2 linked regions of the Arabidopsis thaliana genome follow. The protein of the gene in region 1 interacts with the protein of each later gene in a pairwise test. Each region holds a gene or a part of one and is shown in the gene's direction. Other genes may lie near its edges. The genes, in order: GMD1 and RPT2.

Evidence for each region.
Region 2: the proteins of GMD1 (region 1) and RPT2 interact in a two-hybrid assay, tested with the Arabidopsis thaliana proteins (one large-scale study listed by BioGRID).

What each region holds. Positions count from the first base shown.
Region 1 is NC_003076.8:26,474,107-26,478,036, forward strand, and holds GMD1 (GDP-D-mannose 4,6-dehydratase 1), read left to right. Parts: upstream 1-2,059; 5' UTR 2,060-2,327; coding exon 2,328-3,413; coding exon of another isoform or gene 3,414-3,525; 3' UTR 3,526-3,648; downstream 3,649-3,930. Other genes in the region: AT5G66270 (Zinc finger C-x8-C-x5-C-x3-H type family protein), read right to left, coding at 1-430, 510-634, 724-858, 1,401-1,460; AT5G66290 (uncharacterized protein), read right to left, coding at 3,190-3,525, 3,859-3,930. UniProt on the Arabidopsis thaliana protein: Catalyzes the conversion of GDP-D-mannose to GDP-4-dehydro-6-deoxy-D-mannose.
Region 2 is NC_003071.7:13,003,931-13,007,860, reverse strand, and holds the start of RPT2 (Phototropic-responsive NPH3 family protein), read left to right. Parts: upstream 1-2,114; 5' UTR 2,115-2,287; coding exon 2,288-2,358; exon of another isoform or gene 2,359-2,441; coding exon 2,442-2,511; exon of another isoform or gene 2,512-2,704; coding exon 2,705-3,082; intron 3,083-3,678; coding exon 3,679-3,930. UniProt on the Arabidopsis thaliana protein: May act as a substrate-specific adapter of an E3 ubiquitin-protein ligase complex (CUL3-RBX1-BTB) which mediates the ubiquitination and subsequent proteasomal degradation of target proteins.

The sequences.
Region 1 (3,930 bases):
CGAAACAGGTACATTATGTGGCGCAACATTTCCAGGCATGGGAGGTGGGTTTCTGTCCATGGTTGTGGAGGTGACATGTTGAGGAGCAAGTCTAGGTTCGGTGATGTCAGTGTTTAGACTGTTATTTGCAGTTTCAAGTGGTTTACCTTTCATGCCATTGATCAAGTTCTCAACGATTTTGGGGTCACTGAGTAACTTGACAAGTAAATCAGGATCGACCTGAGAGCCCTGTTCCTTAGTTAAGGCAGACAAAGCTGCAGAAGCAAGAAGACTTAACTCTGGTCCAAGTCCAGAAACAGCTGCAGGAGCTTCGAAACTGTGGGAAGATTCAGCAGCAGCGTCACGTTCATCTTCAACGTGAGTGAGAGGGATATTAGGAGTTTTGCCGTCGTCATAGTGTTCTTCTTCAACAGCTAGTGTGAGCGAAGGACTAGAAGAAAACAGAGAGAATTTGATAAGTGGAAAAACATGACATGGCACAAAAGCAAATCCTCAAATGATAAAATTACCGAGAAGGGATCACAGAGCGATGTGGATAGAAAGCTTCCAAGACTTTAGAAATCCTAAGATTCTCAGAACGAGTCTCGATGCTTTTTCCACCACTCCCAACAAGCAAAGCATCATCGAGGACAAACTATTTTGGCGGCGAATAAAGAAAGACAGTGAGAGTTATATAAAAACAAGAAGGGTCACATTGTTTGCAATTCAAGAAAAGAATTATACCAATGGTGGGCGTTTCCATTTGATCCGAGGAATGTGTGAGATGATTCGCTTCGTTGCATAATCAGTAGCTTCAAAACCAGGTGGAAGATTCGATGCAACTTTAACGGGACAATCATCACTAAGAAACAACTTTACCTGTCCAAATCCTTTACTTAGTTAGTAACCAAATGCGTGTGTACTCAGCAGCCACAAAGTCCTTTTTTTTACATGAGTTATATATATAAGGGGAGTCCTACATGTTTCACTATTTCAGGAGGAACACAATCTTTCTAAAATTAGTGACCACATTGGTACATTGTTCTTCTTTTTTTTTGGGATTTCTTGCTGTTTATGTCCCTACTATGTAAAGAAGATTTCATAACATCAAGTCATCAACATTCAGGCACACAAAATTAATTAATTAGATTCGCCATTACCAGAAAAAAAAAAAAAAAAAACGTCATCTTATTAAAGTTTGTTGCTTTGACGGTGACTTATGGAAAAGGTTTTATCTTTGTGTAAATTTAAAATTAAGAATAATTAATCAAAAGCAATCAATCAAAATCAATTCGTTTGTTAACTGTCCGATTCCAACTTTGATAACTGGTAAGTCCGAACCGAACAATTACAAATTTGCAGGTAAGAGAAGAATAAGGAACAAGATTGGGTCGACGAAGAAGACGACGGGTTGGCTATACCTGACAAAGCATACTATCTGATGCCCACGATACTCTCCCTTTCTTCGTTTTCTTCATCATTACTATTTCTCTTACAAAAATTCAATCGCAAACTCTTTCTAAAGTCTATTCACTAACCACTTTCTCAGATTCTATACGAAACGAGAAATCAGATGTTAGACCAAACTCGACAATGAGAAAGACAGATATGAATAAGAAGAGAGGCGTCGGCGATACGTTTTGTGTTCTGTGGGAGAGATAGAACAGAGAGAGAGAAAACCCTAACCACACTTTTTATGACTTTTTGACTTTCCCAGTGGAGAAAAATAAATACTATCAAATAGAGAGGCGCTGATTGGCTCCCATTCCTAATCGTTTTTTTTATTACTTTCACCGATTTAATTTCCACCACTCATATTCTTTTAATATTCACAATTACTCCTTTTAACGTTACGTGTTTTTTATTTTTACGCTTTCATTTTTGAATTTTGAATCTAATAAATAGGACATGCAAGTTGAGATCGTGTGGGGAAAAAAAAAAATCAATGGTTATTATAAGGCCGAGTATAATATAACTAAATGGGTTAACTTAAGGCAAATTACTAAAGTCCACAATGATGTTTAGTCTGAACGCAACCCGTAGAGCTATATATATATATAAGCCCAATAAAATTAGCAGTAATTTAAAGCCCATCTTGGCCCAATAGATAGTAAAATATTCGTAATCGGTCAACGCTTGCCGGCGATTTGCCATACAAGTACAACTTTACGTAGCCATACAGATTCACCTTTAAAGTTTACAGAAGTAACCCTCTCTCTCTGTCTTCTTCGTCCTTGGGCTTTATTATATATAAGTCATCGAATCAGTTGACGCTAAAATCAAAAACAGAAAGCGCGACGTGCCCAATCATTTCTTCTGATCCGATCTGACTCTGCACCCACCCATCAATGGCCTCCAGATCTCTCAATGGCGATTCCGACATTGTGAAGCCGAGGAAGATTGCACTGGTCACCGGAATCACTGGCCAAGATGGATCTTACCTGACCGAGTTCCTGCTCGAGAAAGGCTACGAAGTTCACGGCCTCATCCGACGATCCTCCAATTTTAACACTCAGCGACTCAACCATATCTACGTTGATCCCCACAACGTCAACAAAGCTCTCATGAAGCTCCACTACGGTGATCTCTCTGATGCCTCCTCCCTCCGCCGTTGGCTCGACGTCATCAAGCCTGACGAGGTCTACAACCTTGCTGCTCAGTCCCACGTTGCCGTCTCCTTCGAGATCCCTGATTACACTGCTGACGTTGTCGCTACTGGAGCTCTTCGTCTCCTGGAGGCTGTCAGATCTCACAACATTGACAATGGCCGCGCCATCAAGTACTACCAGGCTGGCTCTTCGGAGATGTTCGGGTCAACTCCTCCTCCGCAGTCAGAGACCACGCCCTTCCATCCGAGATCTCCCTACGCTGCGTCCAAATGCGCTGCTCATTGGTACACAGTCAATTACCGAGAGGCCTACGGTCTGTACGCCTGCAACGGAATCCTCTTCAACCACGAGTCACCTCGCAGAGGCGAGAACTTCGTGACTCGGAAAATCACTCGGGCCTTGGGAAGGATCAAGGTCGGATTGCAGACCAAGCTCTTCCTGGGAAATATACAGGCTTCAAGAGACTGGGGTTTCGCAGGAGACTACGTGGAAGCAATGTGGCTGATGCTGCAGCAGGAGAAACCAGATGACTATGTGGTTGCAACTGAGGAATCACACACCGTCAAGGAGTTTCTGGACGTGTCTTTCGGGTACGTGGGGCTCAACTGGAAAGACCATGTCGAGATCGACAAAAGGTACTTCCGGCCCACGGAGGTCGACAATCTGAAAGGAGACGCAAGCAAGGCAAAGGAAATGTTGGGGTGGAAGCCAAAAGTAGGGTTCGAGAAGCTGGTGAAGATGATGGTGGACGAAGACCTTGAGCTGGCCAAGAGGGAGAAAGTGCTCGCCGACGCTGGTTACATGGACGCTCAGCAGCAACCTTGATATGGGGAGGTGGCAAAGAAGAGTAATCATTATCTGCTTTTTCATTGAAATGTAATTTTGTTTCATTTGTTGTTGTTCTCTTTCGTTGTTTCAAGTTGTTCAACTCCATACACTGCCAATCGTCCATTGTGGATTTTGTATCAAAAGGCAAACAAAGCATATTTATTACATATGAATTTTCCCCTTATCAGAACAATGGTTTCTTACTGGTCACAAGCGATTGTACAAATCGAAAAGCCTAAAGATGAAATGACAAAAGAAAACAATGATTTGTAACAAAAAGATCAATCAATAGCATCATCATGCATCTATGCAAAATCAGAGGAGATCAGAAAGTATGCTGTAGAACTACACGTATTCGATTCACCAATCTAACTACCATTAAGAGTATTTACTCTTATGCCTCGGGTTTAGAAGACAGAGTTGTAGTAGTATTTATACTGACCGAATCGGGAGATGCAAGAGAAAAAGGCGCCACTGTGGACCTCAGAGATTCAGGTCCCTCAGAATTAATTCT
Region 2 (3,930 bases), on another chromosome or scaffold:
AGTTGCATCTTTTCTTAGCCTTTGTCCCCTCGGTTTAGCCGCTGTGAGGTCGGGACCGTTGTTAATTATTGTAACACCGCATAATTACATAATAATATAAACTCGCAAAATAAAAAAAAACCTATGAGCAACTATATACATTTATTTGCAATATGAGTTTTTAGTAAAAAAAATTACTTATATATATTAGGTAAAAAATTTTGAGTTTTTTTTGCATTTTACTAAATGTATATCATGGATATGATCTGACTAGAATTAGCTCCAATGCCTTTTTTGAATTCAGGTGTGTAGAAATTGCATATCCTTAATCAGAAAATAGCATTTTGGTTCTACTTACCGAATCAAACCAAAATAAACCACAATCCTATATGTCAATCCTCTGGATGTAATTAACCATTATGATCGAAATTGTTGATTGAAACTAGACGGCAATACAGCTCAGGGTATTTGTACTTTTGTTAATAGATTGATAGCACCATCCTCTTATGGTCCAACCTATTTCCTAACATGAATTTTTCATCTGAATAATTTAGACTTGTATTAAGACCTTGCCTTAGCACCTTTTTACAAAATTTAATTATTATTCTCTCTGAATTAATGAAATTTATATGTATATCGCCTACTCATGATCTAGTGGACATCTACTGTTTAGCTAATTCAATATTTTACATTCGGATATTGTGTTTTGATGCAAAACCAATTACAAAAAAGAAATCTAGGGTTTGGAAGTTTTTGCATTAAGATTTAAACAAAAAGTTAAACACCTCACAAAATTTATCACGATACTAAAATAATTTTCTTATCAAATCACATGTTACTATGTCAGCCGGAGAAAAAAGACTCACATGACATATTATCACATCGATTCACAGAAACTTACATCAAAATAGAAAAATCACGAAAACTGGTAAGGGTTTTTAACTTTTTATGAAGACCCATTTTGTGAATCTTCACATTCAAACTACAAATAGTCTTATAAAACTAGTCGCACCGGCAGAAAATTATTAGGGCAACTAGGCAATGTAAGAGACGTGAGATATCTTTAAAGACGATAGGAACACGTGTATAAACATGATTGGAAGACAAAACTGAAACTGGATTCTGATGGATGATTTGACGACGTAGCTAAGCCAAACACCACGAGGTTCTAAGATGAAGCACGACCACATATTTGGGGTGGGCCTTATCTATGACATGTTCCTACTTCCCTAACTTCCATGGTCCTACTTCTCTCTAATCGTACATCCACTTTTAATTTCGTTTCTTATCTGTCAATTATTCACATGCGTTGCTTTTTTTTCTATATTCATAGCATTGTCTTCCTTTAATTCAGAATTTTTAGGCTTTTAGCATGTGAAACTTTAATTTTGCTATCATATTCTCATTAACCAAACCAAAAAGTAAGATTGTTTTTTTCTTTTTGAATGAGCCACTCTACAAATTGTTGCCAACAACCAAATATATGAATGATGATTGGTTCTCACTAATCATTATACTTTATAAAATTTTCTAATCATCACCATATGCATGTTATGAAATCAAGAATTTAGATCCGTTCTGTACTTCTGGTCTGTCACACACTCACACTTTGTCCCGGCTTCTATGTCCTTGTACGATGAGATTGCTTACACATAGCAGCTTTATGATAAGAAAGATTTTCATGTTCGTCATATTACTATAATCATTGTTATCCTGCATGTTTTTTGTAGTCTTTTAACCTTGAATATCACTGTAACATTTACTAAAATAATAGTTGATAATTTGAATGTAGTTAGCCAAATATCAATTAGTAAACGTTCACTTTTCTTTTAATTTTAATTTTAATGATAAATAAATACATTTACTAAATAAAAGCGTAGTAAAGCATGTTACTTACAGAGATATGTTTATTAATGTTATCTACAAATCACCAAGATCGAGATCTCTGTTAGTCTATTATCAAAAAGTTGGTGAAACATATATCGGTATATATGTGGAAGGTCTAAATTACATAAAATAGCCGTCGATACAAGTACATATCCAAATAGGGAAAAGTTAAAAGGAAATGGTGAAAAGGAAAGTAAACGACGAAGACAAACACAAGGATTAGAGTGAGTTAACTAAAAGAGATAATAAACACATCAGAAAACGACAAATAAAAACTTAGAAAAATAAGATAGAAGAAGCCAATCACAAATATTATTACATTAGCAATTGGGTGGATTGGGGGGACCCATGCTAAAGAAATTTCAATATATAGACACTCTCCAATTATGCTTCCATCTCCTTCAATAGAGAACCAAAAAAAATGGCAACAGAAGGAAAAAACCCCATCAACATGAACTCTATGTCTTCAAGTCTTGCAAGAACCGGTCAATGGTACGAATCAGTCTAGTTTCACCAATAGAGTCTCCCGGCGCGAATCATCAGAAATTTTAACATGTATATATGTAACTTTGTAGGGTTTTTTCTCAAGATATTCCGACCGATGTTGTTGTTGAAGTCGGAGAAGCCAATTTCTCTCTTCATAAGGTAAGCAACAACTCTTAATTCTTGGTTCACAACATTTTTCAATACAAAAAAGGATTATTTATTTTTCATATACTCATGAACTAGGCTTGAATAGAGTAATAATAGGATGGCGAGATTAGTACAAACCATTAGCTTACATGTTTTTAATTACACAAAATTTTAACTATAATTTTTCATGATTGTATATATATAGTTCATGTTAGTGGCTAAGAGTAACTACATAAGGAAGCTAATAATGGAATCCAAAGATAGCGACGTGACAAGAATCAATCTCTCGGATATACCCGGAGGTCCTGAGATATTTGAGAAAGCTGCCAAGTTCTGTTACGGTGTTAACTTCGAGATCACCGTTCAGAACGTGGCGGCTCTTCATTGCGCAGCCGAGTTTCTTCAGATGACCGATAAGTACTGCGACAACAACCTTGCTGGTCGGACACAAGACTTCCTTTCTCAAGTAGCTCTCTCTAGCCTCTCTGGAGCTATCGTTGTCCTCAAGTCTTGCGAGATTCTCCTTCCTATTTCTCGTGATCTTGGTATTGTCCGCCGTTGTGTCGACGTCGTCGGTGCTAAGGTATTATTTTACTCAGAACTCATTCTCACTTCTTTGTAAGTGTTGGATCTCCATTTTGGCTAGTGTTTATGTTTTTCTTTTCTACCTATGTAGTAGTAACTGCAATAACCCAATCTAGTAAGTTAGTACAGTTTTAGGTATGTTTTTCAATAAATGGCAAGAATATCTGGTTTAGTTATTCCATAGGTTTCAAATACAGTAATAGTTTGAAATTGATTTTAAAATTTCATCTATCAATTTTCCTAAGAAAAATCAGTTTGAGACCATTGTTCTTCACTTCTTTTGTTCTAGTGTTTATTATTAAAAACAAAAATCTATTTTAATATTAAAGTTTAGATCTATGATTACTGTTGTCAGACTATGATTGCGATTTAGATTCGATAGGAATATTTCATATTTAATTCGGTTTGGTTTCCGAATCTTAAATTGAGCAAATCATACTTCTACCCTATTCCAGTTCCGTGAGACTCAAGTATAATATCTATGTAATGCAAAATGAATTACGAGTTTAATATTTTAACATCCATGAATTTTTGTAATGCTTGGTTACAGTATCTGATACGTTTTTTATATCTATTTCTTTTGATATTTGAAAGGCTTGCAACGAGGCAATGTTTCCATGTCGAACACCACCAAATTGGTGGACAGAGGAACTCTGTATCTTAGACGTCGACTTCTTCTCCGATGTCGTATCTTCAATGAAGCAGAGAGGTGTCAAACCTTCTTCCTTAGCCTCTGCAATCATCACCTACACAGAGAAATCCTTAAGAGATCTCGTCAGAGACCATTCAGGCAGAGGAGTCAAATATTCCGATCCCGGAGATAACGAATCCGACGAAAGATCCCAA